4 linked regions of the Pelodiscus sinensis genome follow. The protein of the gene in region 1 purifies or fractionates together with the protein of each later gene. This does not show direct contact. Links are inferred from orthologs where the notes say so. Each region holds a gene or a part of one and is shown in the gene's direction. Other genes may lie near its edges.

Region 1 (7,453 bases):
CCTCTTCCCCTCCCCTTCCCCGTGGCTGGGCCGCTACCAACACAGCAGGAGTGGTGCTGAGCTCTGTGTTTTATCTCATTTCCGGAGCAGCAGCCTCCAATCCAGCTCCAGGCAGTCTGGCCCTGCTGCCTCACCCCTGCAGGTGGCTCAGTTCCTTGCTCCTGGAACCTGGCTAACTGGCTCAGCCTGTGCCAGGGTGGCTGTTTTGGTACAATTTTGCTCAGTCATGCTGTTTGAGCCGTGTAGCCAGCCAATCTCCTGGCTCTCAGTATCAGCTGCTCTGGACATGGTCACTTGTTGAACTCAGCTGCTGCTCTGATGTGTAATCCCTGCTTGATTTAACTCGGGCAAATCAGTCTCATATCAGCCCTGTCCCCACCCTGTTTGCTATCCTAGCTGAAGGGCTCCTGGACTCCCTGCATTCCTCTGCTCTTTTGTTCCCCAAACCAGTTCAGTGGCATGTTAAAGGTGAAAATCCAGCTAATTCCAGAAAGCTGGACATCAACTTGCATCCCGAAGCCACAGAACGAGCAATTCTGTAGTTTGTCAGAACCTCCCCCGTCCCTCCCCACTCATTGCTCTGAGCTCAGATTGCGAGTGCCCTGGAGATGGGGGTTTGGGTCTTTTGTCTGTACAGCCGCTCCCCGAGTTGCGAACGGTCGAGTTACGACCGTTTGCACCTATGACCAAAGCTTCCATGGAGCGGTCCCCAAGTTACGAACGCGACCTGCGCTTATGAACAGCATGGTCGCGTGTAACTCAATGGGGTCCGAGTTACGAACGGATCGAGTTATGACCAAGTGTTTGGTTCGTAACTCGGAGAGGGGCTGTACTGCAATGCAGCCATTAGTTGCTATGTAGCTAAGATGGGTAAATTGATACAGTTGGCCAATTACACTGGGGCTGTGTCTAGACTGGCCAGTTTTTCCAGAAAATCAGCTGCATTTCCAGAAAAACTTGCCAGCTGTCTACACTGGCCGCTTGAATTTCCGCAAAAGCACTGACTTCCTACTGTAAGAAACCAGTGCTTCTTGCGGAAATACTATGCTACTCCCGTTCAGGCAAAAGTCCCTTTTACGCAAAGCTTTTGTGCAAAAGGGCCAGTGTAGACAGCTCAGATTTGTTTTCTGCAAAAAAGCCCCCGATCGCGAAAATGGCAATAGGGGCTTTTTTGCAGAAAAGCGCGTCTAGATTGGCATAGACGCTTTTCCACAAAAAGTGCTTTTGCAGAAAAGCGTCTCTGCCAATCTAGACGCTCTGTTCCGAAAATGCTTTTAATGGAAAACTTTTCCATTAAAAGCATTTCCGGAAAATCATGCCAATCTAGAAACAGCCTGGGTGCGCACCACTCTCCCTTTCTCCCCCAAGATGTTTCAATTCACAAATCACTGTCCCTCTTGGCACCAAGACCCTCTTTTCAGATGGGCGCATATGCCCCTCACCCATTGTAAACGCCTCTGAGCATGTATCTGCTTTGAATCTTTTTGTTCAGTATTTGTACAGCACCGAGCCCTGGCACCTGACTAGTGGTTTTAGGCACTACAGCAGGGCTACTCAACACACAGCCCATTTGTTTGTGGCCCACAGGGTAGTTTGGATTTACATGGGGCTCAACATGCAGCCCGCAAGTGGGAGCCAAATCAAAAAAGTGGTCAATATAATGGTCTTCTGTTGATATGTGTTTTAGTAGTAAAATTCCTGGACTGTCATTGCTCACTGAAAGTGCTGTCATATGGGTGGAAATCAGGTGAATATTGCATTTTATTAATATCAGAACTGACTTAAAGGAGGCCTGTGTGTTGTGTAGTCTTGCCTTAATCTTTGTATTCATGCCTGTCAGTATGAAAGAAGCTATTTGCATATATTTGGATGTATATGCAACCACACTTAAGTTGCAACCCTCGGCATATGCTGTGAGTATCATTGTGGCCCCCGGGGCTTCCAAAGTTGAGTAGTCCTGCACTATAGTAACCAGAAAGGCCAAATGGACTTCTGGAGCTTACACTCGTTATCAGCTGCCAGATTCCAGTATGCAATACACCAATGTGACCTGAAGGGGGCCTTTGTATGCTGGGACAAGTTAGTTCCGCATTGCATGCTGGTATTGGTAGTTTCTGTGTCCACCCCTCCATGTTACAGAGGCATGGTGGCTGCCATCTGCTTTATTTTAGGCAGCTTAGGCATTGAATAATTGCCAGGGTAGGGCCCCTCCCCCAACTTAGAAAAGTTCAGACAGGAGCTAAACTGCCCTGTGAAGTGATGTGGCTAGAGCAGAAGACTGGGAGTCAGGACTCTTGTGTTCTATTCAGAGATGACTATGGGAAATTTCCTTCAAGGCTTTCTGGGTTTCCTCCTCTGCTAAAAGGGGCTGGTAACAGCGTCATCAGAAGGTGTGTCAGAGGCTCTGGCAATCTGATTGGAACTAGAATTTGGCTGCATCCTGCTCTCCTTTTCCATCCCTTGCTTGCTCTCTGCCACCCCCTCTCCTATTCTGTCCCAAAGCCTATATTTCAAGCCTTCACATGTTTGCTAAGGAGTAGGCATGAAATGAGTCACTGCCCAATATTAAGGATGCAAATGGGTCAGGCCCCACCCACTATCCATCATGGCTGTTCTTTCCCTCCTCCTTACCTCACATCAGTGTGATCAGTGGTACTTAAGTGAGAAGGAAGGCTATGGATTGGCTATGGACCAAGGTGGGTCTTGGCTCCTCACTTCCACATGGTGAATCCTTGTAGGTAGAAGAAGCTGAAGCAGCTACATAAGTAGCTTCCTAATGTTACTTTTCCATATGAGCAACTGTAAATACCATCATGACTTTATGAAATCATGAAGTAAATGGGAGGTGACCAGGACTGGTAAAGAGGTAACTTAGCATGATTGTGAGGAAAGGTGTGTCCCCCCCCCCCCATGACAATGTTTAGCAACCCCTGATCTAATGCACATAAAATCTCTTCCCCCATGTATTGATCTGTGATTACCTTTCCCTAACCTGAGGAAGAGCTCAGCGGAGCTCCAAAGCTTGTGTCTTTCGTCAACAGAAGTTGCTCTAATAAAAGCTACGCCATCCACCTTGGTTTTTGTTCTCAACTTTGCCAGCTGTTTGATGTAGGCACCTGTGAGCATACAGCTCTGTGCCCCCTTTGCCCAGTGCCACTGTGCGCATGCAGATGCCTATGTATGTGGAGGGTGTCAGGCTTGGAGAGATGTGTATGTGGGAAGATGAGGGCAGAGGGTACCAGCTTTTGGGCGGGTGGAATGTTTATGTGGTGAAAGGGCACAGTACCAGACATGGATGGATGGAGGTGTGTTTTGGAGCTTGGTGGTAGGCAGCATCAAACTGGGGAATGTGTTTAGGTCAGAGGTGGGGGCAGAATACCATGCTTAGGGTGTGCATGTGGGGGGGGAAGCATCAGACTCCGGAGTAGCAAAGTATTAGGCCATTGGGTGCACGGGAGGCAGGGAGTGCTAAGCTTAGAGAAAGAGGTGTGGGGAGGGGAGTAGGTGTAAGGACTTTGGAAATGCTAAACCTAGAAGGAAGAGTGTGTGGGGGGGGAACAGGTGCTAAGCCAAAGTGGAGGTGTGTGTGTGGGGGACAGGTGCTCAGCCTAGGGGGAAGAGTGTGTGGTGGATGGGTGCTAAGCTGGGGGTGAGGAGTGGGAGGGATAGGCACTAAGCCCAGGGGGAGGTGTGTGGGGGCCGTTGCCGAGCCTGGTGGCAAGCGGGTCAGTGATAGGCACTAAACTTGGGGGGAGGAGTGGGAGACACAGGCACTAACCCTAGGGAGAGATGGGTGGGGGACAGGTGCTAAGCCTAGAAGGAGGGGTGTGTGTGTTGGGGGGCAGGGGCTAAGCTGAGGGAGAGGTGCTAAGCCTAGGAGGAGGCATGGGGGACGGGGACAGGCACTAAGCCCAGAGAGAGGTGTGTGGGGGGACAATCACTAAGCCTAGGGGGAGGTGTGTGGGGGCAGTTGCTGAGCCTGGTGGCAAGCGGGTCAGTGACAGGCACTAAAGCCGGGGGGAGGGGCAGGACTAAGTGGGGGGGGGCAGTTGCTGAGCCTGGGGGTCGGCGGGTGCAGGACCCGGGGACAGAGCTCAGCCCAGGGGCGGGGGAGGGGGTCTGGGTGGGGGCCCAGGGCGGGGGACGCCGAGCCCCAGCGAGGAGCGTGTGGGGGAGGCGACAAGCCGCGGCAGGCCGCTGGGTGCGGGGAGCCTGGGGCACCCCTGCCTCCCACGCCTGACACGCGCTCGTCACATGTGCGCGCGAAGGTAGGAACCGGAAGTGCGTCGGCTCACGTGAACGCCCCACTAGCCCAAGCGCAGTGGCTGCCGGCAGGCCACATGACAAAGGTTCTGCTGAGGCCGGGCGTCACATGACTGAAATGCCGGGCTCTCCGGAAGAGGCGGGCTGCAGGTCACATGACACGGGCCCCGCAGCGGGCGGGGAGGGGCGCAGCACGGCCTCAGCCGGCCCCGCCCCCTCCTCCGCCCCGTGACCGGCCTGGCCCCGCCCCTCCCCGCGGAGCGGCTCCGGAAATGGTCGTGCTGGGCTGCGCTGCGGCTGCGTCGGGCCGCTCGGACTGAAGGAGACTGAAGGTAACGGGGGCCGGGGCGGGCCGGCCGGGCGGCGCCGCCTCCCTCCGCCATGCCGGGGCGGGGGGGGCCGAGCAATCCGCCGCCATCCACCCCCGGGGGAGCCCGGCCCCGCCGCCCCGCGACGTCCGCCCCGGCCCCGCGCCCGCCCGGCCCATGTGCGCCGGCCCGGCCACCACGTGGGGAGGGGGCTCGCTGCCCGGCCCGGCCACATGGAGCCCGCGCGCGGCTCGGGGGGCCCGGCCTTGGCCGCCCCCCTCCCCCCAGGGCGGGCCTAGGGCTCGGCCTGGAAGGGCAGAGACCGGGATCTGGCTCCTTCCGCCCCGGCCCCGTGGGGCTGATCCGCCCCCCCCCCCGCAGCCTGGGGGGCCTGCCCCCCTCGGATCGTCTCTTCCCCGCACCGGTTCCCTGGGGCTCCCCGCACCGCCCACACGCACATGCACAGGCCTGGCTCTCCCTGCCCGCCCCGAATCCCCGCTGTCGGGGGGGGGTCCCCCCTCTCCCCGCCCCCAGGTGCCACACGGCCCCTCGGCCGCCTCGCTTCCCCGCCCGCCCGGAACACTTGCCCCTGGGAGAGGCCTGTTGTCTATAGGCCCTCCCCATTATGGTGTCTGTAGGGGCTTATTAGCCCCTCCCCCCAGCGCCAGGGCTGGAGTGCATCCATTTCCTTCCCAAATTCCTGCGGGCTATAGGCCCCGACGGCCCGTATGGCATGCCACGTCTGTCTCCCCTGCGCCCGGTGCGCACAGGCTCCCTCGCGCCGAATGCCTGGCGCCTCTGCGCTATAGGGGCCTGAGCGCCCCCCCTTAAATATCCGGCGTCTATAGGGGCCTGAGTGGGCCTCCCGAGCCCCCTCCCCCGCGGTATGCACGGCTGGCCCCGCCCCTAATGCCTTTATCCTGCTCTTAGCGGCCGCCCCCACGTGCTCTCGGCTCCCCCTCCCGTCCCTAGGCCCAGCCCCGGCCTCTTCCGAGCCGGCGTCTAGGCCCGGCCCCCACGTGTCCCCGCCGCCCGGCTTCCATCGGGCCCGGGCAGGCTGTGCGGCGCCGGCTCCCGCCCGCCCCGGGCTCCCTCCCCGCCGCTCCGTAGCGCGGGGGCGCCGGCTCCCGCCCGGGCCTCTCCCGAGAAGCGATGGCCGCCGCCGGGAGTGACACGTGTCCTTGGCAGAGGCCGCCGCCGGGCCTTGGGAGCGGCGGGCCGACAGGAGCCTTGCCACGGCTCCGTGTGCTGCGGGGGGAGCCGCTGGCCGGCTCCAGCCCGGGCAGGGGACGGCTCCTGGTGGACAGTCCCGGGGGGGGGGGGGGGGGTGCGCGCTGCCCCCTCCTCAGGAATTTCCTCGCGTGGGGGGTAGGATCCTCAAGTCTGCCTGTTCTATAGGGGCGAGGCAGAGTCTGGGGTCCGTCGGCCCTGGTGGTGACTGGTGAGATGCCCCAGAACTGATATGCCTTTGCTGGGTGCGCTGTGCCCCATGGGCGCTCATGGTCCATGGCAGGACCCTAAAGCCAATGGAGTGTAGCGGGGGGGGGGGTGTCTAAAGCTGAGCCCCCGGTGGGGACATTTGCCCTTCTCCTATTTGTTTTGTTCCATAAACTGGCTTGTTAGATGTTTTCCTAGGCGCAGGTCTCCCCTGCCTCAAAGCAGCAAGAAAAAACAGGATTTTTTTCTGCCCCTTTTTCCAAATTTTGGGTTCTGCTGGGGTGTGCATGTCCTCCAGGGAACAAAAAATGGTGGGGGGCGGGGGGAGGGGAAGTAATCAGCTGCCTAGCTGGAATTCGTGAGTGGGGCATGTTCTTTGGTCTCCTGCAGCTCTGCATGCAGGATAGTGTGAGCTCATTTATTCTGTGACTCTTGAGAGCTGTTTTGTACCTGTCACCCAGCCCTTGAAAATGGCATTGAGGGCTCCCTATTTATCCTCCTGGTCAAAAGGCAAAGTTGACAAATTGCGTCACTACCCTTCAGTTTCTTGGCCTCTGAAAAGGGGCCAGGATCCTTGGAGGGGACACAGGGTTGGTGTGTCCTGCCCACGGGCTGAGCTCTAGCCCCCGTTAGCATCTGTGCAGCCCTGAACCGCTTACTGGGTTTCAATAACAGTTCTGTTACTGCCAGACTGGAATCTGTTTTCCCCTCCTGCAGCTGGTCTAGCTCTGGGGGACTTCCAGGACACACAAGCACAAGAAGAAAGTTGGCACCTAAAGTGGTCACCTTTGACTCTGCCTACACCCAAGGGGCAGTGCTGTGGAGTGGGGAGGGACCATTGTTCCAGGGGCCTGTTCCTAACTAGCTGAGCATGGCTCAGAGTTGCAGAACAGACAGCAGAGAAGAGCCAGGATGAACTGTGCCCACACCCCCTTCTCTAGAACATCCTCCTCGCTTCCCGTCCCTGTGAAACATCCCTCTAAGGCAGCGAATGCCCTTCCTCCTCCGTTTCTGTGGGCCAATTGGCACAGCAATGGCAGGGATATGCCGCCTGCAGAAGCAGCTCGGGCACCATCCACAGTGCCAGGAACAGAGGCAGGAGCACATGCCGGTTCCTCTTTCCTCCGGTACCAACAGAAGCTCCTGGTTCCTGCTTGGGGAGCAGAGAGAGACACTGAGTTCATGCTAATTTGGCTCTGCTGCTCTAGAGAGCAGAGGCAGGACCAAGGTGCTGCCATCCTCCTCTCTGGAAGTCTTTTTGGGATGCGGGTAGGGTTCCTATGCCAGTTGCTAGTATGGAATAAGCAGAGGAAAGGTTATTTCCAAAAGTTTCCCAGGGGAATTTGTGCTGGGCAGAATGGTTTGCCCAGTGTCCAAATCACAACCTCTCTTCAAAAGTGCTATGGGCCTCAGTTATTTCTGCTCAAAGTCAGCAGTCTAAGCAC
Region 2 (7,232 bases), on another chromosome or scaffold:
AAGGTAGGATTAGCCAGATCGCCATTCTCTACCTATATAGGGCGTGTCCTCACTAAATCCATCCCCAACTCTGATAAGGTGAACTACTTAACTAACCATATACCTTGCCTCTAGAATTACATGATCTAGCTAAAGAGCATATCAACCATGATAACCTAGACAGATGGTATGGTGCTGAATACCAGGCTGTGTGTGCAGAAGATATATATAAAAGTAATGCACTGAAACATGACATACTTTTACCACCAATATCTTCTCCAAGCATCTTCCCAGTTAGTACCGTGACTATCAAAGCCAGAGAGTTACAGAGTGGCACCGCCAGGGACAGGTCTGAAATTGAACAAGGACATGGAGATACAGTCAGATTTTTTTTTTCTATGAACACAGTTTAAAAACTAAATTTTGTAAAAATCACTTTCTCCTCACTAATGCAAAACTGCTGTTACTGAGCGTATATATAGGCTTGGAAGGATTAGATTTTTAGTAATAAGTGTTGATTTCACTATAAAAAAAATCAAATTTACAGATAGGCAAGGTAAAAAAAATGCTGCTTGAGAACTTAATATATTTTAAAGAAACTTACTTTATATGTTTTGATGTGATATCATTATTTGTTCGTGATTACAAAGATTTAATATTTTGCATCTCAATAGCTGTCATTAAAATATTTGTCTAACGGCCCTTCATAAATCCCTGTGATTTAAAAATTTAAATGGATCAAAATACAAAAAAAGTTTAATACATGTTGATGTCATCTGTCAAAATTGAAGAATCATAATCAAATTCTATCCAGCCTAAGAGATGTGAAATTGACTTCTCAGATGGGCCACAGAACTCTTCAAGGATGACATGGTCTATCTAACCCTAGCTATCTCACTACATTGAAACATAATAGCAAGGACTAACCTGTGGATGCTAACGTGAGATAATAGATTATTGATCCACATTGATTAAACAGAAATGGCACCATGTACTAGGAGGAAAACATAACATATTCAGTCACTGCACATGAAATGACCATATACACATCATGAATGCTATTTGAGGCAGTGAAGCTAGTTGTTAGAGTGGGGGATTAGGAGCCAGGCTTTATTAATTCTATTTCTCAATCTACAAGGAAGTGTGGTCTAGCAGTTAAATCAAAGGGATCTGTTTGTGGTTGTGCCACTGACTCCTTATGTGAATTTGAGTCGGTCACATAACTTCTGTTTCCTAGTCAGTAAAAGAGAGACAACACGTAACTTACAGTAATTATATGAGGCTTAATTAACTGTGTAAAGGGCTTTGAAATCTTCAAGGGAAAAGTGGTATCATATGCAAGCTAACTGGAATATCACAAAGGATAAAATTTCCAGTAAAAAATGTCAAGTCCAGAACAGATATAATTAAATGATCAAGAAAATTAATGTTAAAGCCAGATTAAGGTACATACATTCAATATTATCTCCATCCAGGATGCCTCCCCCCTTGGCATCACTTGAAATGGTTTGGAGGTTTTAATACCTTGTAATTGAGGCACAGGAATTTCATCTCTGCAAGCAGCTGCGGCACCCGGTTCCCTTTCTTCACCTTCTCCAGTCCCTCTGTCCCCGTCTTCAAAAATGGGTTTGTCCCTCCCCACAGAATAGCCACTAGGACCAGTGCAGACACTTCTCCTGCATAGGGATGTTAAATACCAGTTAACTGAATAGTCGATTAACCTCATGAATTCTTTTCGTTTACTTGAATTTTCTATAGTCCCTGGGGGTGGATCCAGCAGCCAGTGTGCACCAGCCCCACTCCCAAGGAGCCCACTGCAACCCCACACTGCTGCCTCTGTATCAGAGAGGCAGCAGCGCGGGGTGCCAGGCAGGAGCTAATCTGTGAGGAGAACCAGTTTAAAAACCAGTTCCCCTTGCAGACTGGCTGCCTGTTGCCCCGCACTGCTGCCTCTGATACAAAGACAGCAGCCTCTGTCTGAGGGGAGGGGAGATCTGAGCTCCCAGATGCAACGCGATCTGGAACTGAGCCAGGCTACCTGCCCGCCTGGCTCCTAATACACTTTAAACGCAGAATCACAGTGGAGGTAGGTCTCAGACCCGGTGCAAGCCAGGATTGAGCTAGGCTGCTGGCCAGCATGCTAAAAAGTTTTCTGGCAGGGGCGGGAGGGAGGAATGCATGTAGTCTATAGCATTAACAAATACGTTTTTGCTTATTGGTTAATCGACTACATTATTACATCCCCACTCCTGCAACACAATCACAAACCACCACAATTCAGGGGTTATTTGTGTCTTGTGAGTTTCTCACTTTAGTTCCTACATCAGTCCTGTGCCTGCCACTGTGACTATCACAAATTCCCTCACTTTCTCTCCCTCTCCTTGGCTGTGTCTACACTGGGCCACGTATTCCGGAAAATCAGCCGCTTTTCCGGAATAAGCTGCAAGCTGTCTACACTGGCCCTCGAATTTCCGGAAAAGCAACGACGCTCTACTGTACAAAATCAGCCGCTATTCCGGAAAAACTATTCTGCTCCCGCTCGGGCATAAGTCCTTATTCCGGAACACTGTTCCGGAAAAGGGCCAGTGTAGACAGCCCAGTAGTCTTTTCCGGAAAAAAGCCCCGATTGCAAAAATGGCGATCGGGGCTCTTTTCCGGAAAAGCGCATCTACATTGGCCACAGACGCTTTTCCGGAAAAAGGGCTTTTCCGGAAAAGCAGCCTGCCAATGTAGACGCTCCTTTTCCGGAAAAACTGAAAACGGAATAGTATTCTGTTTTAAGCAGTTCCAGAAATTCATGCCAGTGTAGACACAGCTCTTCTGTTTTAAAACCCCAATTATGTAAATGCTGAGCATCCAGAACTGTCCTACCCCTTCTCCTATGCTTCCTGCTCTCTTTACCTCCATGCACTCTCAGCTTTGTGCCTTCTCTCATGTACACCTACCTGCTTGGAATAGTCCCTCCATGTGTGCTAAACCATCATTCCTTCAACAAAGCCTCCTAGCCAATGATCTTACCAACCTACCCCACATAAAAACTATTGTCTGTCTGGACCTTTTCTTACAATGTCTTATGTAACTCGCCAAATACCTTTACAGCATAACAGAACTGTTAATACAGTGTTTAGTAAATAACAAACAACCTTAACTGTGTTGTTACCAGCTCTAGCCCAATTATCACATTTAGCCCAGACATCACATTTGCAAACCACAAATGAATGTCAGATGCTAAAAAGCTCTGAGCTTTTATGGTGCATTATGTATTTTAGAATACTGCAGAAGACGGGACAGACCTGTTTGAATGCTGCTGACAGTGCAGGGTTTTGCAATAAACATTACTATGTCATGGTCACACAGGTTTATTACATACATTTATTTCTGCCGCAGTTCTTTTTCTGTCTATTTATTATTACAGATTATTCCAGTCTATGAAAACAGGTTCAACGGTCAGAAAACTGGGCTTGACTGCATTACTTTATGGGTCTTAATAGCAGTTTACTGTGACTCAGCCCGTACTGGCTAGAGCTGTGCTGGCACCCAGAACAACTCACTTCCTATTTCTGGCACTCCCCCAATGTCACCAGCCTGGAACCATGAATCATTTGTGCTTTCGTCCAGAACACGCGTATGGTGAGCAAAAGGAGCTGAGCAGCTTTAAAAGGCCTGGCTCCATCATGGTGCCCTTTAAAGGTGATGTCCTGAGAGGCTGCTGCCCCCGGCTCAGTGAATAAGCGGGTGTTTGTGTATAGAAGGTCAGTGAAGCGCCTTAGGTCCTCCTGTGGTCTCCAGATGGGAAACCTTGTCAATGTCATACAGTGTGTGTGTGGGGGGGGGGCTGCCCGCTCTTCCTTTAGTGAGCCCCCCCCAGGCCCCAGCACTGGGGAACCCTCCGACCAGCCTCTTCCCCTGCACCCCTGCCACTGAGGACACCCTGACTCTCACCTTCCCGCGGGGGGGGGGGGGCTGGAAATCCCCTTCCCCAGTGTCCCACCACAGGGACCGTCTAGCACCCCTCCCCCCACCCCACAAGGAGCCCCGCCCCTCCCCCCTGTGCCCCGCCCCTCCCCCTGTGCCCCGCCCCCAGCTGCAGAGACCCCGCCCCGGGGGGAGCCGCGCGCTGCCCGAGCGCCTGTCATGACTCCCGGAAGCAGGAAACTCACCCGCGGAGGCCATGCCGGCTCCGCTCCACTTCCGGCCCGGCCGCGCCCCCTGACCCGGATGTGGTTCTTCCTCCTTCCTGTTGTCACGCGGAGCTTGTGACTGGGCCGGGGCTGTGAGCGGTCGCCATGGTGAGTGCGGGGCCGAGGGGCGGCTGGGGCCGGGCAGGCCTGGTCGGGAGGAGGCGGAGTCTCGGGGGGGGGGGGAGAATTCCCCCTCCCCCCACGTCGGGTCCTGCCTCGGTCCCCCCCCCCCCCCGCTCCTTCGAGCCCGTCCCCGCAGCGTCCTGCCCCCCCCCGGAGCCCATCCCCCCCCCACACCACCACCACTCCCCCCGCCCGTCCGCTCCCCCCGCAAGCCCCCCGCCCCTCCCCGCAGCGTCCTGCCCCCCCGGAGCCCATCCCCCCCACCACTCCCCCCTCCCGTCCTCTCAGTGTCCTGCCTCTCCCGCCCCCCTCCCCGCCCCCCGCCGCCCCTCCCCGCGGCATCATGGCTCTCCCTTCTGTTTGGCTTGGAGCCCATTCCCCCGTTATGGTGGCCCCAGCGCTCTTGCCCCCCCCCCCCCCCGATCCCCTCGGCTGCCTCCTCCCCTCTTTATGGAAACACCAGCGGGGAGTTCCCAGTGTAACACCGGCACCTGCTGCCGCCCCAAGTACATTGCTGGGTCCCGGTGAGGAGCCACTAGGGGAGGGGTTCCCAACCTGGGGTACGCGTACCCCTAGGGGGTAGGAGAAGCGTGTCAAGGGGTACAGGGAATATTTGGTAAATAACTACATTATCCTAATTGAAATATTCCCTAAGTGGTCGTGTGAGTGAAAAAAGTTGGTGGATTCTAGAGTCTAGAATTTATTTCCTTTCATATTGAATAGGGGGTACGGGAAGGTTTACTAAAAGCCAAGGGGGTACAGGGACTGAAAAAGGTTGAGAACCCCTGCTCTAGGGCCTTGCTGCGCTGGGATTCCCACCCATAAGGTGAAGAAACGCTGGGGGGGTAAAGCCTTCTTATTGGGTGGGGTTAGCCACCTCCTGAAGTTGTTCCTGGCCCTACGCATCTGTGAGATGAATTCAATCCCCAGTCATCCTCGTTCCAGCCTGCTGGCGCATTGGGCCTTATTAAATGACAGGTCCCCTTCCAGGGCTACTCAGTGAAACCTAGCAGCCTGGGAAAATAAACAGCCAGTAAAGCTGCGTGGTTTGAGGACTCTGGACTCTGCTAAAGTTGAATCTTCGGGAAGATGAGGTTTTCCAATGCAGGTTTCAATGGATAAAACATTGAAATACGAGTAAATGGACTAGCTTCAGTTGTGTTTGGTGGAAACTCTATACTCATGTATTTGCACAAATCACAAAGCCCGAAGGTGTGTTTTATTTTAAAATACTGGATTTAAAAAAAAAATTCTGTCTCCTTTTTAGAAACCTATACTATTGCAAGGTCATGAGAGGTCCATTACTCAAATCAAATATAACCGAGAAGGAGACCTACTCTTTACAGTAGCTAAAGATCCTGTAAGTATTTCTGAGTCTTTGATTAACTGTTTCATGTCTCTCAAACTTAGGAGGAAGTTTAAACTGGATTCTAAAAAAGTGAAACTTCTAGCAGCCAGTTTAATATTATGGTTATGCATCATAGCCCTGTAGCTGAGGTGGTGTCAGTTTTTTGTTAACTAGTTATTACAGGCAGTCCTCGCTGTAAGTCCAAGATACATTCCAAAAAACTTGGACTTGTAGCAAAACAACTTAAAGTATGGAATTTTTTTCCCGCGGCTGACTTCCATTTGTGCAAATTGGTGGGGGTGGGGGTGGGGTTGCTCAATTTAAGAGCGGGGAATTGGAGGACTTACAACGCATCAGTTCCTACAAGTGTCAATGACTTTAGTGTGGAGTGGATGTACCAGGGCAACTTATAGCGGGTATGCCCTGTTACAGAGAGTTTGTATAAAAATTGGAAATTTAACTGTATTTTATCATCTATATAGTCTGAAAATCCCTTTCCTCCAGGGTGTTGGAGGTACTTCTCTTTCCCTATACCTGAAAAAAGTGTATTCCCATTCCGAGAAATCTTTGCTGCTTCCTGTTCAGTTCAAGGTCTAGTACAAAACCAACCTGCTTCCTCTTCAGGATGTTTCATATAGTAGTTTTCCACACCTAGCATTTCTGTCTCTCCTCAGTCTTACTTGAGCAGCATATTTTTTTTTCCTCTCCCTGTGTTCCACCTTAGGCAGTAATCCCACTCCCATTTTTAAATACTATTTCCAGGCCCCTGAAGAGAACCATCACTGCCTGCTTTTCAACATACATTCTGTTTAACTGCATTTATAAAATACCTGTTGCCATGCATTTAGTGATAGTATCTCTCAACACGAAGAGTGCACCATATTCCCTGTGACCATCCTCATTCGTTCTCCTACAATCTGACCTCTCCACCTTTTGACATTCCTGTCCTACTATCTCTAGTGATGCTGCCTGTAATGTAGGTTATAACACATGTAGTCCTACTTGTATGTGCAGTGAGATAACTTGAAATACTCAAAGATGAGACCATATGGAAGTAAATTACGTTCATTTATTTAGCAGTTTGATCAAACATGGATCCTTGACCAATTGTTTTGCATTACCAGATTGTCAATGTTTGGTACTCGGTCAATGGGGAGAGGCTTGGCACTTACAATGGCCACACGGGAGCTGTCTGGTGTGTGGATGCAGATTGTATCCTTTCATGACTGAAACCTGGCTGCTTGGCTTTATGGTGAGTCTTCTCACATGGGAAGTGAGGCGTTTTTATTGTGGACAGGAGGCAGTAGGCACTATGAGCGATTTTATTGTTGGCCTTGTGATCTTTCCTTTACTCTCCACTGTTGTATTTCCCTTCATTTGAAATAATAAGTGAACTGTGGGGTGTCGTGTTCCGCCTTCACTTGTTCAGATATCGCTTTTGACTGACCAGCTGTGCTGGAGCTCAATGCTCTGGCATTCCTAGAAGTAGGGACGTGAATACCCATTAACAAAGTTATCTGGTTAAATGATACAATTTTACTCGCTTAAATGGTTAACTATGGGCTGATGCAGAGTGGCTGGGGTCCCGTGGCAGAGTTGTT
Region 3 (6,946 bases), on another chromosome or scaffold:
TGCTTCCTGGGGCTTTAAGTCACGGTAGAACATCCACATTGAGGGAGCCTGCCTCGGACTAATTTTGAGGCCTTTCTGTAGTGTGGACACGCTATTTCGAAATAGTTATTGCTGGAGTTATTATTTCAAACTACATTAATTCCCTTGTCTAGATATGCCCTGCCTTTCAGTTACTTTCGCTGCTGGATATGAGAGAAAACTGGTGGAAGAGATGTGTAGGGGATGCCACAGGCATAAATATAATACGGTATTCACTTACTGGGAGAGTACTTGAGCCAAATAGATGCTCTTGAATGAAAGATTTCCGTGAGATAAATGTCCTTGCTACGTTCTATTGCATAACCAGAACATACGTTCGCTATTGTCTGAAAAGTTCAATTGACGCTGGCACTTTGCATTTTCAGAACTTGACTGGACATTTTCGGAAGCTATAGGAAGCATATTATGAATTTTGTTTCCTTGTTCATTACATTTATGTGTAACTATTATTTGCATTACTGTGTGCATCTAGGTTCCAACCCAGCTTGGATCCTATTGTGCTGATTGCCGTACAAACTGCTCCGCCGACCTTCCAATCTAAATAAAAAAGACAAAGAGTGGGGCAGAAAATAGAGGCCCCCAAAGGGAAAGTGACGGATCGAGGTCACACAGCAGCCGAGCCAGGAATAGAACCAAAGCCTCCAGACTCCTAATTAGGTTTTCTGTTCCTCTGCTGTTTATAACGATCTTTTCTGCTGCGTGATTTTCCCCTTGCAGGGGAAGCAACAAAGCTCCATATCGGGCTCTTCCATCCATACACGTTCCTGACTGCCAAGCGGCCTGTATTTCACATAACGATCATGCATCTGGGAGTCTGGTCACACATGCCAGCAGCGGAGCCGACCACCACCCTGGGGAGGGTTGCCAGATGTCCAGTTTTCACCCGGACTGTCTGTTATTCAGGTCCCCCAGCTGGTAAAAAAATCAGGTATTTCTTGTTTCCCTCGGACGGAAGCCCAGCGGGGACAATTTTCCCCTGCTGCAGGGGAGTGAGGAATGCGGGGCCATTGAAAGGTGTAGCGTCCCCCCCTTTTTTTGCTCAATAACTTTGGTCTCTCCTCCCCCCCCTTTTTTTTGCTCAACAGAATTTTTTCCCATTTTTGGGGAGGGGGGATTTGGTATTTTTTGTTAAACCATCTGGCAACCGTAACTGTGGGGCCCTGGGCGAAGTGTGTGTGTGTGGACCCCAGCTCCACGTCCTCAAAGGGGCAGGGCCTCAGGCAGTCGGTCCTGCCCTCATAGCTGCGCAGACTGGCGGAGTGGTGCGCCAGCTCTGTCTCCCCTCTCCCCTCCGTCGGCAGGTCGGCATTCCGCTATCTCAGCTGGATTCTCACGAATCCACTTGAACGCTGGGAAGGTTGCCGGCGTTTGTCTGCAGACGAGCCTTTTGGCCACTGGAAGCCACACGGGTGCCTGCCAGGCTGATAACCAGAACCCTCATCTCCCTCTCCAGCTGGATCAGTGACAGCGGCTGGAGAAAGATTTTGGGACAGCAGCACCAGCACTGGAGTGTAAGGGCCTAAGTACCTTTAAGGATCTGGGTTAAGGGATCAGGTTCAGTACTGGCATCAGGCTTCTTCTCTTCTGAGCTGAAACAGTACATTATTTATTTGTACGGTCTTGGCAGCTAGAAGCCTAGTCACAGACCAGGACCCCAGAGTGCTACAAACACAGAACAAAGAAGAAATCCCTTCCCCAAGGAGCATGCACTCCAGGAGACAGTGGATGGATACAAAGGCTAACGGGAGTACAAGACACTATATCAGGAGTGGGCAATAATTTTGGATGGGGGAGGTCATTCTACGAATTTGGTAAAGTGGTCAAGGGCCGCTCTTTTCCATGATATGAATGGAGGAGGTGCGGGGTCCGGGATGGAGGTTGATTGCAGAAGGGAGCTTTGGGTAAAGGATTGGAGTGTAGGAGGGGGTGTGGGATCTGGGAGGGAATTTGGGTGAAGGAGGGGGGTTGTAAGCTGGGAGAGTGGACTGGAGTGCAAGAGGGAGTGTAGAGATTTGGGCTGTGACCTTGGACAGGAAGGTACTGTGACTTGGGGCAAGAGATTGGGGTGCAGGGTCTGGGAGGAGATATGCGTGAACATAGGAGGGGCAAATGGTTTGGGTTATGTGAAGTGGGGGAGGGAAGAAGGTTGGGGGGAGGAAGAGTCTGGAGTGCCAGAGGCAGACTCTGGCCAGGAGATGCTTACTTGGGTGACTCCTGGCCAGCAGCCCAGCAAGTTCCCTGTCTTCCCTGCCCTGGCAGGCCACTCAGAGCAGGCAGCTGCAGGGCCACATGCATCTGCGAACAGCTGCAAGCCTGAGGGGAGGAAGAGGGAGGGTCTTCAAACAGGCTGCTGCCATTGGCTGGAAAGCGGTCAATGGGAGCTGTAAGATTTTGCTGGGGGAAGGCAGTGCATGAAGCCTCTTCTCCCCTCCTCCTAGGCTTGCAGCTGCTCACAGATGAACAAGGCCCCACCATTGGCTTTTCTGAGTGGCATGCAGGGGCGGAGCAGGGAGAGAGCTTGACAGGCTCCCACTGTGACTTCAGGCCAGATCCAGCAGCTTGGCAGGCAGGATTTAGCCCACAGGCCATATTTTGCCTGGCTCTGGACAATATGGTCAAAAGGATGGGCTGGGGCCTCTGCACACCAGCAGCCTCCTCATTAAGTTTGTTGTAGATGTCACAGCAAAGGAGGTTTTGAAGGACAATGAGTTGGTTTTGTGGGTGCTTATGGGGCACTCTTGACAAGCACAAAAGGCAACATGGGCATTGCACAAAGGTGCTGTAACAACTCGGCCATGGAGGCTGCCCTCGTGGGCTGAGGGCAAGCAGAAATTGACCTCTTAGGTAAGCAGGAGAGCCCAGGGAAGGGGAAGGTGAAGGGAGCCAATGGCAGGATGCAAAGAGAGGGGACAGGGTCACAGGCATTGCCCCAGCATCCACCACAGACTCGTCCAGGAACTCCCCGTTGCTAGGAACCCCAGACATTTTCTGTCCTACCTATGGGTGTCAGGGTAGGTTGTCGAAGCCAAAAAGTCTGAGTTTAAAAAATAACTAGATATGCTCAGGAGCTTCAGGGGGTAGCAGAGTTAGTCTGTTACAGGAAAAAACAGCAAGCAAACAGTCTGGTAGCACTTTATAGACTAACAAAACATGTAGATGGAATCATGAGCTTTTGTAGGCACAGCTCACTTCTTCAGATGACCAGAGTTATGGTTAGAGGATAAGGAAAGTCGAAATAAATAGGAGAAGGGAAGGGGATGGTCCATCCAGGCCTATTAGCCACGATGAGCAGGGATGCAAGGCCATGCCATGGGTGTCTCTAAATCACTGCCCACAGGAAGCCAGGCTCAGCTGATGGACCACTCACTAATTACCCTGGTCTGTTAATTTTCCCAGAAGACCCGTCACTGGCTGCTGCTGGCAGACAGGGTACTGGGCTAGACGGCCTGTTGGCCTAACCCAGGATGGCTACTCTTCTATACGCCTTGGCAGAGCTAGCCCCATACCCCATGCCCCATGCTATTCACACCTCCCTCTGCTCCCCCGACAGCAGCACGTGGCGTAGCCCCCTGCCTGCCCCACGACTCAGCAGGGCAGGTGCAAGCCCTCTGCACCGCTGCCAGTGGGTGGGGAAAGCGCAACTCCCAAGAGGCAGCTGCACAGCCTGGGGCCCAGCTGGCCTGCCCATGGGGAGCAGCTCACCCCCTGGTCTGCCAGACCAGCAGGTGGCGCCTAAACAACGCCCACCGGCCAGGGGGCGTGGCTTGTGGCTCCTCCCACAGCTCCTCACTCCTCCTAGCAGCACTGCGCCTGCGCGCGGCTGCCGTTCTCCGCGCGCCTGCAGCGACCCTCACCCCGCCCGCGATTACATCGGCGCGCGATTGCCCGGCCTGCCAGCGGCGCGCGCGCGCACCTCCCCGCTCTCCCCCCCTCCCCCATTTCCGCCGCCGCGCCTCTTCCTCCCGTGAGCCTCCGCGGCGGCGCCCTGCCCTGAGGGGAGCCCCGCGCCCGCTGAGGTGATGGAGGGGTGCGCGGCCGCCATGGAGGTAAGCGGGGCGCTGCTCGCCGGGAGCCCCCCCGGGCCGGCCCCCCCCCGCGTATCACCCCCCCGGGGCCGGGCCCCCCCCCGCGTATCACCCCCCCGGGCCGGGCCCCCCCCCCCGCGTATCACCCCCCCACGGGCCGGGCCCCCCCCCCCCCGCGTATCACCCCCCCCGGGGCCGGGCCCCCCCCCGCGTATCACCCCCCCCGGGGCCGGGCCCCCCCCCGCGTATCACCCCCCCGGGGCCGGGCCCCCCCCCCGCGTATCACCCCCCCCGGGGCCGGGCCCCCCCCCCGCGTATCACCCCCCCCGGGCCGGCCCCCCCCCCGCGTATCACCCCCCCCCCGGGCCGGGCCCCCCCCCGCGTATCACCCCCCCCCCCCCGGGCCGGGCCCCCCCCCGCGTATCACCCCCCCCCCCGGGCCGGGCCCCCCCCCGCGTATCACCCCGGGCCGGGCCCCCCCCCGCGTATCACCCCCCCCGGTCGAGCCCCCCCCGCGTATCACCCCCCCCCCCCCCGCGAATCACCCCCCCGCGAATCACCCCCCTCCACGGGCCGGGCCCCTCCCAGGTATCACCCCTCCCACCCCTCCCCCACAGGCCTGCAGCCCTTGTCCTCTCACCCGGGGCCGGGCGCCCGAGCACTAGTCCAATAGTCCAGGGTCAGTCTCCTCTGCTCCAGCCAGTCGCCCCTTCACTGGCCCAGCCGAAGGATGTAGAAGAGCCGTCGAGTCCACTACTCACGCTCCCCCCCCCCCCCCCCGCTGCCGCTCTATTGGAAGCAGCAAGGAGGGGGAAGCAGGAGCCGGTGCTGGGGTAGGCCGGCTTAAAAGCCCCCCCCCCCCCCCAGCACCCTCTGCATGGTGCAGGGCGGAGAGGGCAGGGGAAGTAGAGGCACAGCGGTGCTGCGGTTCTGCTTTTTTAAAGATAGTAAGAGCCAGGTGGCTGCGCACTCAGCTCCTACTACATTTAAACTGCAGAGCCGCAACGGCCCCTTACCAACGTATTATGTTCTCAATACAAACTATATTGAGTACACACAGTCAGTCATTTACTCAATACTTAGCATTCTTAGCACAGCCCCAAACAGGGGTGCCCCAGCCTAAGAGGCATTGTGAGCTCGGGGGGGGGGGGCATGAGAGGGAGAATACCCAGGCCCGGTGTAGGAGGGGGACCCCATACTGTAGGGCAGATAAAGGTGGGGAGAAGAGAAGGTGTCCCGACCCTGGTGAGGGCAGGGCCTCCTGGTCTCTCACTAGGGCACCCAGCCCTGGTGGAGGACAAGGGGTGAGGGCGGGTCCTGTGAGGAACAGAGCTAGGGAATATGGGGCTTTACCAGTTAAGTTAAGGTTTTGGTTTGGTCTCTTCTACTCTTGGAAAGCTTTTCCTTTTGTGCTAAGATGAGACTTAAAAACAAAATTCCAGAACTGTATCAACTATCTGGAGAGGTGTTGTGAATCCACGCCTATGAACTTAGAGCCTGATATTATCATTTGAGAAGCAATACAATAACCTATGTTGATGCAGTCCAGCAAAATAGCTCTTTTTTGGGAGATCAGTACTATGTGAAGGAGCTTCTAGTCTTGGAGCCCCATATTTGGAACATAAAAACAACTTGGAAGATTCTTTTTGCTTAGTGTATAATTAACTACTCCATGAGAGCATCAGACCTAGGGTATTTTGTAGTTTATATAAAAGAGAGTGCAGCGATCAAAGATGATGTTTACTAATAAGACTATAATTCATTTGGGGGGGGGGAGATGGGGAAATGTTCCTGTCTCTGTTTCACTATTAAAATTATGGATGCTAAAATGTGGTTAATTAAATAAACATGTAACTGCTGAAAAATTCAGAGGCCATAGGGTTACATGGGGGGGGAGTGCTGTGCGGGCTCCCCACATGCACTGGCTCCCACATTCTCCCTCCCCCGCTTGTGACCGAGGCAGCAGCATGAGGGAGCGGGTGCGCACCATGACTGGCTTTTAAGCTAGCTCTCTGCATATATTGGGATCTTGCATGTAATTGTGAAGGTTGACCAACGAGCCCATGTTTGCACTTTCACATCCCTAGTTAAAATAAATACTGTATTTTTTAGATATTTTAATCTGTTATTTTGAGTTCAGTATTGACTATATATTTCTCCTATCTTAAAAATACAATGAGAATTGAAAAGCCTCTGGCTAAGGGGAGGGATCCACAAAAATATGTCCATAATAATGTAATCAGTGGTCACCAACCCCTCGATTGCAATTGACTGGTGGCTTCTGGAGCCTCTGCCAGTCGGTCACAATCTCTAGGCTGCTAGAAGTTCAGCGGTGCAGCAGTGCTCAATCAGGCTGCTTGCATCCTGTGACCCCATATCCCTCCCAGAAGCTGCTGACATGTTTCTGTGGGCCTTGGCATGATGTGGGAGGGAGGTGACTGCACATGGTGCCCCTGCCTCCGGGACTCTACCCACAGCTCCTATTGGCCAGTTCCCAGCAACATCAGCAACGCCTGCCATCTTCCTATCCCCCAAGTAGGAAGCAGAGAGTTTCCAGAAGCTAGTCATTTGAAGGAGCTGTATGGGGTCATGGCATGCAAGCAGTCCGCCTGAGTCCTGTGTGCTGCTGGCGAGGAGCTGCCTGGAGTAAGCATTTCCTCACGCGCTCCTGTACCCCAGCCTCCTGCCGCAGGTCCGAATGTCTTCCAGCACTAAACTCTCTCCTAGAGCCTTTGTCTTCTCTGGCACTGCACTCTGACACATTGCCCGAGCCTGGAGCCCCCTCTTAAGCCCCAAATCATTCCCAGAATGAAACTAATATAACAGCTGTTCTAAAATAAGAAGTAGGCTGTTTGGAATTAACTATATTTCTACATCTTTTA
Region 4 (7,084 bases), on another chromosome or scaffold:
TCAATAAAAGAAAAACTGTATTGGCTAGAGATATCATAGCCTTCCAGTGCACATAGTGGTTTCACTTTTGCAGTTTACTTTGAATACGTTTTGTATTTAGTAGACTCCTAATTTCAGGACTGAAAGGGATGTCTCCTGAGTCATCTTTCTCCCTAGAGTCTCCCTCCTTTCCCTCAACTAGAGGAGTTATATCTGCCTTGCTCAGGCTTTGGTGTGATAGCTCAGACCTAATGCCAGAACCTCAAAATGTTCAGTGCTGCAACTCTGTAGAAAACACTGCTGTGGTAAAGAAGATGGATGCGATAAAGACAGGCTGCAAAAAACACAGGTTTTGCCCTAGTCTAGTCTGGAGTCACTTAAAGATCAAGAATATCTTATCAATTTTAAAAACCAAAAGTATTTCATTCATTTTAATTTATATTTTGTCATTTGCTAAAGAGAAAAGCAAATGGGGTCAGGTGTTGATTGGTAGCCAAGATGAAAATCTCAAACTTTTCAATTTCCACATTGTAGGCAAATACAACAGGAGTGTACTGCTATTTGTAAGGCTAGCCTTACTTGGTAGATCTTGTGATTTTACCCACATGGGAACTAGTCATCTTCCTCTCCACTTCTGGGTTCTCTCTATCTATGCTGTTTTACATATGACAATTTACCTCCCTCGCCACTTCCTGCCTGTCTGCTTAAGGTGTGTGTGTTCGTTGTCTCACACTTCAGGCTCTGCAGCCTCTAATCTAAATTGGTTTGTCTGTCTGAGGTCTATGCGCCTTTCTCGGTAATATTGTTATCCCTAATAAAAAACAGGACTATGTAGCACTATAAAGACTAACAAGATGGTTTATTAGGTGATGAGCTTTCGTGGGCCAGACCCACTTCCTCAGATCAAATAGTGGAAGAAAATTGTCACAACCATATATACCAAAGGATACAATTTAAAAACAATGAACACATATGAAAAGGACAAATCAAATTTCAGAACAGAAGGGGGTTGGGGGGATTCTGCCACAACCTTCAATGGGGTAATGGGTGGGGAATCAGTGATTTAATCTGCATGGGCGTCAGGCAATGCCTAGTGGGTTGAATATGCCTATGTGAGAGTATGCCTGAAAGTGCTGTGCTTTATTCAGTTGCATAGATAACAGGATACCATACTCCAAGAGGCTCTGGGAGACAGACCCATAGTCTCCTATAGACAACCACCTAACCTCAAGATGATTCTTACCAACAACCACAGGACATACCACACTAATACCAACCCTGGTACCTTCCCTTGCAACAAACCCCGTTGCCAGCTTTGTCCACATATTCATTCTGCTGATACCATTATTGGACCTAACCAAGTGAGTTATAAGATCAAGAACACATATTCCTGCGCATCCAGAAATATAATTTATGCTATCATGTGCCGAAAGTGTCCATCTGCTATGTACATTGGACAAACATCTCAGACACTTCGCCAAAGGATTAATGCCCACAAAACAGATATCAGACAAGATCACAAAGAAAAAAAAGTTTCTTGCCATTTTAACCAGAAAGGACACTCTCTCAATGACTTAACCACCTGCATTCTGCTACAAAGACCTTTTACATCTGCACTTGAAAGGGAATCCTCTGAACTGTCATTCATGTTAAAATTTGACACTCTCCGGGAAGGAATGAACAAACACTCAAACTATCTTACCCATTACCAAGATAGCTTCCCCAATTATCACCGCTAATACCATTAGCTCACAGACATCCCATTCTCCCCACCTCTAATATCATCAATTCACAGACACTTACCTTCCTTCCTTCCCCCCCCCCCCCGCATCCCCCTCCTGTTCTGAAATGTGATTTGTCCTTTTCATATGCGTTCATTTTTTTTAATTGTATCCTTTGGTATATATGGTTGTGACTATTTTCTTCCACTATTTGATCTGAGGAAGTGGGTCTGGCCCACGAAAGCTCATCATCTAATAAACCATCTTGTTAGTCTTTAAAGTGCTACATTGTCCTGCATATAGATCACATAGGCTGCCTTAAAGCTACCTTTATTATAGTTATTGAGTTAGAACATCCTATGATAAGCAGGTCTGTGTGGTGTCCTGCAGGGCTAACCTCAGGTTGGGGGGAAAAGAGCATAGCATGCATGATCTCATTGTGATAAATCTCACAGTGCCATGCTGGGATTGTTTGTTTGCTTTGGCTCCCTTACTAAGAGCAGCGGCCTTTCCCTAAACCTTCTTCACTGTTACTTTTCCTCTTGTTCATATTGTTCATATTCCTCTTGTTAGTCTTTAAAGTGCTACACAGTCCTGTCTTTTGCTTCAGGAAGACCAGACTAACACAGCTACATTTCTATTAATATTGCGAAATGGTCTGTTTGTTGACATCCTGTGACTCCAACACCTGCTCTGCATCCTCTTGACTTGTGCTTTTTTCTTGCATGGATTTAGGGTTGTTACCTAATTAGGTGTTCCCAGGATTGTCCCTTTTCTGAGCTAGCAGTCCTGTGAAATCGGCAAAGGCACTCACTCATAATGCACACTGCCTGCTGTTCAGTTTTTTTGGGCTCAGCATCATCCCAGATATGCTGTTGTTTTGTACCTTGGAGGTGGCATCCTTGCGTGTATTAGATGGTATAGCCTCTGTGCCATGAGCCACAAACATTTATGGAACTGAAAAATTATTCCTCCTTTAGATCCCAGTATATAACTGCTATTAATAAGGCTCTTTGGGAATGCAACTTGACTGACTCTGGCCCCGGTGAATATGCTGGCCCCCAGAAATTTTATAGTGCTGAATGAACAAACCAGCATTTGCTGACTGTAGATTTGCCAGGTGTCCGGTTTTGAACTGGACAGTCCAGTATTTGAGCTTTCTGTTCGGGAAACAAATTGAGAAAATATAAATGTCTGGTATCATATATATAGTAGCCCAGTGTCTGAGAGTCTGTAACGCCAAAATGCTGGCTGTTCCCTCTGGGGGGCGCTGTTGCCTGAAATGCTGGCTGTTCCCTCTGGGTGGCCCGTGCTGCATGGGGAGTGCAGGGCCCAAACGGCCTCTTGCACCATTTGCTCCCTCACGGTGGCCCGGCTGAGCGGCGCAGAAGTCAGCCGAGCACCACAGTGGGAGGCGAAGGGGGGTGGGGCGGTGACGTGCGGCGTGACAGCAGCTCCAGGCCCTGCCCCCTGCCCGTGAATGTCACCGCCCCGCCCCCTTTCACCTCCCGCCGTGGCGCTCGGCTGACTTCTGCGCTGGTCAGCCAGGCCGCCTTGTGGGAGCAAGTGGCGCAAGCGGCCATTTGGGCTCCATGCCCCCCATGCAGCACGGGGAGTACGAAGCCCAAACGGCCATTTGGGCTCCACGGTCCCCCGAGTGAAAAGCAGGAGGGGGAGGAGAGCTGAAAGAGAGAGAGGGTGAGGCAGTAGGAGGAGGAGGAGAGAGAGAGAGAGAGAGAGAGAGACGGAACGAGAGACCGGAGGCTCAGGAGAGACCTGAAAATCCCGTCTTATGACGGGCCAATTGGCTAGTTTTCTAACTAAGATGTAATGTCGATGGTGATGTAACGTCAAGTGTGTCCGGTATTTTTGTTGAAACCATCTGGCAACCCTAGCTGGCTGATCGAGTGCTGAACGCCCTCCCCTTTAAAGAGGTTGGAGGGTGGCAGAATGCATGGACATTTGGCTACCAGCAACATAGGTTCCTGCTGCCCTAAGCTCGTTTAGACCAGCCCCGTAGAAAGTGCTGGGTGGCATAATCTAGGGATGCAATTTGAGTCCCAATACCTCCTGCGCATAGCACTTTGGGACCTCCTCCCACCACTGCACTGGGCCCTAGAGGGCAGCAAAGACCCCTCCCCCCCTGCCCTGTATACGTCTCCTCTTAAGAGGCCTGGGGAGTTTGTTCACCCCTCCCTCTCTCCAGCCAGTGTGTTGGATCACCCGGGCCCCTCCTCCCCGCACCATCCAATGGTTCCTTCCTATGCCTTCCCTGCCGAACACACCCACTTCCCAGCGCATGGTGTCGCCCTCCCTCCTGGCCGGTTGAGCACACACCTTCCCTTCCGCCCCTGCCCCGCCCCCTTCGCCCTGTGATTGGCTGCGGCGGGTGGCGCGAGCCGGCCAATCGGCGGCGGCCGCTCGCGGCCGTGTCGCTGGGCAGAACAAAACAAAAACAAACAGGGCAGCGCAGGGGGCAGCGCGAGGCCGGCGGCGGCTGTGGGGAGCGGAGCGGCGGGGACCGCTGCTGCCTACGGTAACGGGAGCCCCGCCCCCCCGCGCGCAGGGGGCTCCTCGCCCCTCCCCAGGAGCCTCCTCAGGCGGGAAATTCGTGGGATCCCCCCCGGGGGGGGAGGGTCTGGGCTCCACGACCCTCCTGGCCGGGGGGCGTGTGGGGTCCTTACCAGCTCTCCTCAGGGATGTGCCCCCCCGGGAGCCGGGCGCATCCTTGGTGTGCCCCCCCTCTTCGGGGTGAGGGGGTGGGGTCCCTGGGGGTGCCCCCCTCTGTGGGGTGGAGTCCTTGGGGGTGCCCCCCTCTGTGGGGTGAGGGGGTGGGGTCCTTGGTGGGGTTGGTGCCCCCCCTCTGCAGGGTGAGGGGATGGGATCCTTGGGGGTGCCCCCCTCTGTGGGGTGGAGTCCTTGGGGGTGCCCCCCTTTTGTGGGGTGAGGGGATGGGGTCCTTGGGGGTCCCCCCTCTGCGGGGTGGGGTCCTTGGGGGTGCCCCCCCTCTGTGGGGTGAGGGCGTGGGGTCCTTGGGGGTGTCCCCCCTCTGTGGGGTGGAGTCCTTGGGGGTGCCCCCCTTTTGTGGGGTGAGGGGATGGGATCCTTGGGGGTGCCCCCCCTCTGTGGGATGGAGTCCTTGGGGGTGCCCCCCTTTTGTGGGGTGAGGGGATGGGGTCCTTGGGGGTCCCCCCCTCTGCGGGGTGGGGTCCTTGGGGGTGCCCCCCCTCTGTGGGGTGAGGGCGTGGGGTCCTTGGGGGTGTCCCCCCTCTGTGGGGTGGAGTCCTTGGGGGTGCCCCCCTTTGCGGGGTGAGGGGATGGGGTCCTTGGTGGGGTTGGTGCCCCCCCCTGCAGGGAATGGGGGTGGGGGATTCTTCATGCCCCCTCTCCTCCCTACCCCCCAGCGGGGGCGGATGGTGGTGTGGGGTCTTTCCCCCTCCCTTCTTCCGTCCCCCAGTTAAAAGCCCCTTCTGCGGAGCAGCGCCTGGTCTTCAGCCTAAGGATGCCATCGCTGGCATTTGTGGGGAAGGGGTGACACTCTGGTCCCCAGTCTGGCTGGGTGAGGATACAGTGACAGCCGGGCTGTCCCCAAACAGCGCTAGGATTGAAGTGGTTATCGGGGAGGAGGGAGCCTGCTTTACTTCTGTATAGGAAAGCTGCCGGTTCCTACTTTTAGGGTGTTAGTACCTTGGCAAAAGGTTTATATTTTGACCCCCCACCAAGCTGTAAAGTCACTTTCTTTCTTGTAAAGCTGCACCTTTAAAAACAAAACTGACTTGCCACATCTGTATTAAAACCACTTCCGTTGTTATTTCTGATACTTTAAAGTGTGTGCTTTAAGACCTGTGTGTGGAGGTTTGGTGTATGTTTAATCTTTTCTGAATAATGTTTGAGGCTGTTTATACACTCATATAAAACTAGCACTGAGCATTTATATAGAGCATTCTGTGCTGTAAAAGAGTGTGTATATACATGTAAACATCAGATGGAAACTGATCCTTTTACAGTACCATGGTGAGCAGCACATGGCCACAAACAAATTCTGCTGTGATGCTGTTTTCACAAGTCCACAAACTGGAAATATGAACATTTCAGGCTGTAGATTGTCTTACTTGGCCTCTACTGAAAGGGAGAAAAATCATGGGAAGTTCAAGCCACATTTCTTTGCTTCTTTTTAAATGTGACTGCATCACAGTGGCTGAAGTTTTAAAAACATTGTATGGCATTAAGGATTAGAACCTTTACTTGAAGTTGGGTAAGGTGGAAATACAGTTCGAAAAGTGAATGCATGCTCAAAGATTTTTCAATCTAGAAATTTTTGGTTGAAGGTGATCATGAGATACTTACTTGACCATGAGTGTAGTGTAAATACCTACATATATAGAAATATCTCATTCAAACATGCAGGACTGAGAATGATCCAGAAAAGCTCCTTGTCCATCAGAAACCAGAGAAAGTAATGGAGTTGAGAAAAAAACTAAAAATCACACCTCTTTCCAAAACAAAGGCCCCAGGATCCTTTTTTGAATTTGCAGTATTTTACAATATTCTGCAAATTCTTTTATTTTATTCTCCCCCCCCCCCCCCCCGCTTATGTACACCTGTTATCTTGTCTACCCCCAGATAGTGAGCTCTCCAGAGCAGGGACTTCCGTGTTTTTTCATGTAGAGTCAAGCACAATGAATACTTGCTCTTTGATTGAAGTTCATTGTTCTGCCATAATATAAATAATAAAAAAACCCTTAACTAAACAATTGTCAGTTGCCTCTCCAAAAAGGTTTTACAAGCCCAGTTCTTAAAGAGTCCACCCGTGTATTGGCTGTCTGGCCCCAGGAAAGGAAACTGAAAGCAAGCCAGTTTGGTTTCACATACATCACACTGGCATTGAGGAAATCTGTGCCATTTGGCTCCAGGGTCCATGATTGGAGTACATACATTTTGTCTGAGTGTTGAGGCCTGGTTGGTGGAGTTTTGTTGTTGTTAAGGATAATTTGAGCTATTAAGTAATTTATCTTTGTTGATAATGGAAGTTACTCATATAACTGACAAAATGAGGTACCAAGCAGGTATCTGCTGATGTGTTGGATACTCCTTTGTTCTGTTGGAACAGACCGGTGCAGATGCTTCCTCAGTGTAGGACTCTTACCACAATAAGAAGCTGTAATGCTGTCTTCAGTAGTCTCTTAAGCCAGTGGTCCCCAACGCAGTGCCCACGGGCACCATGGCGCCCGCTGGGGCATTTATGTGTGCCCGTCAAAACATCTGAGCTGCTCCCCCCCGATGTGCGGCACATGCGTGGTGCTCGCCCTGGGCGCGTGGCGCATGGGCAGCCCCTGCCCCGGGCGCACAGCACATGCGTGGTGCTGGCTCAGGGCGTGTGGGCG

What was found.
Region 2: the proteins of EIF4G1 (region 1) and EIF3I purify together in Homo sapiens (affinity purification with mass spectrometry; 5 studies listed by BioGRID and IntAct, counting the BioPlex papers as one, with this or other methods). This does not show direct contact. The link is inferred for Pelodiscus sinensis from reciprocal best matches to the Homo sapiens genes EIF4G1 and EIF3I.
Region 3: the proteins of EIF4G1 (region 1) and MKNK1 purify together in Homo sapiens (affinity purification with western blotting; 3 studies listed by BioGRID and IntAct, with this or other methods). This does not show direct contact. The link is inferred for Pelodiscus sinensis from reciprocal best matches to the Homo sapiens genes EIF4G1 and MKNK1.
Region 4: the proteins of EIF4G1 (region 1) and PDCD4 purify together in Homo sapiens (affinity purification with western blotting; 3 studies listed by BioGRID and IntAct, with this or other methods). This does not show direct contact. The link is inferred for Pelodiscus sinensis from reciprocal best matches to the Homo sapiens genes EIF4G1 and PDCD4.

The regions. Positions count from the first base shown.
Region 1 is NC_134720.1:48,593,710-48,601,162, reverse strand, and holds the start of EIF4G1 (eukaryotic translation initiation factor 4 gamma 1), read left to right. Parts: upstream 1-4,441; 5' UTR 4,442-4,595; intron 4,596-7,453.
Region 2 is NC_134735.1:3,621,021-3,628,252, forward strand, and holds the start of EIF3I (eukaryotic translation initiation factor 3 subunit I), read left to right. Parts: upstream 1-4,220; 5' UTR 4,221-4,265; coding exon 4,266-4,268; intron 4,269-5,550; coding exon 5,551-5,643; intron 5,644-6,755; coding exon 6,756-6,843; intron 6,844-7,232. Other genes in the region: TMEM234 (transmembrane protein 234), read right to left, coding at 238-330, 907-973, 1,504-1,655, 4,140-4,152. UniProt on the Homo sapiens protein: Component of the eukaryotic translation initiation factor 3 (eIF-3) complex, which is required for several steps in the initiation of protein synthesis.
Region 3 is NC_134719.1:3,691,834-3,698,779, reverse strand, and holds the start of MKNK1 (MAP kinase-interacting serine/threonine-protein kinase 1), read left to right. Parts: upstream 1-3,928; 5' UTR 3,929-4,058; coding exon 4,059-4,085; intron 4,086-6,946. UniProt on the Homo sapiens protein: May play a role in the response to environmental stress and cytokines. Appears to regulate translation by phosphorylating EIF4E, thus increasing the affinity of this protein for the 7-methylguanosine-containing mRNA cap.
Region 4 is NC_134718.1:66,934,222-66,941,305, reverse strand, and holds the start of PDCD4 (programmed cell death protein 4), read left to right. Parts: upstream 1-4,080; 5' UTR 4,081-4,236; intron 4,237-7,084. UniProt on the Homo sapiens protein: Inhibits translation initiation and cap-dependent translation. May excert its function by hindering the interaction between EIF4A1 and EIF4G. Inhibits the helicase activity of EIF4A. Modulates the activation of JUN kinase.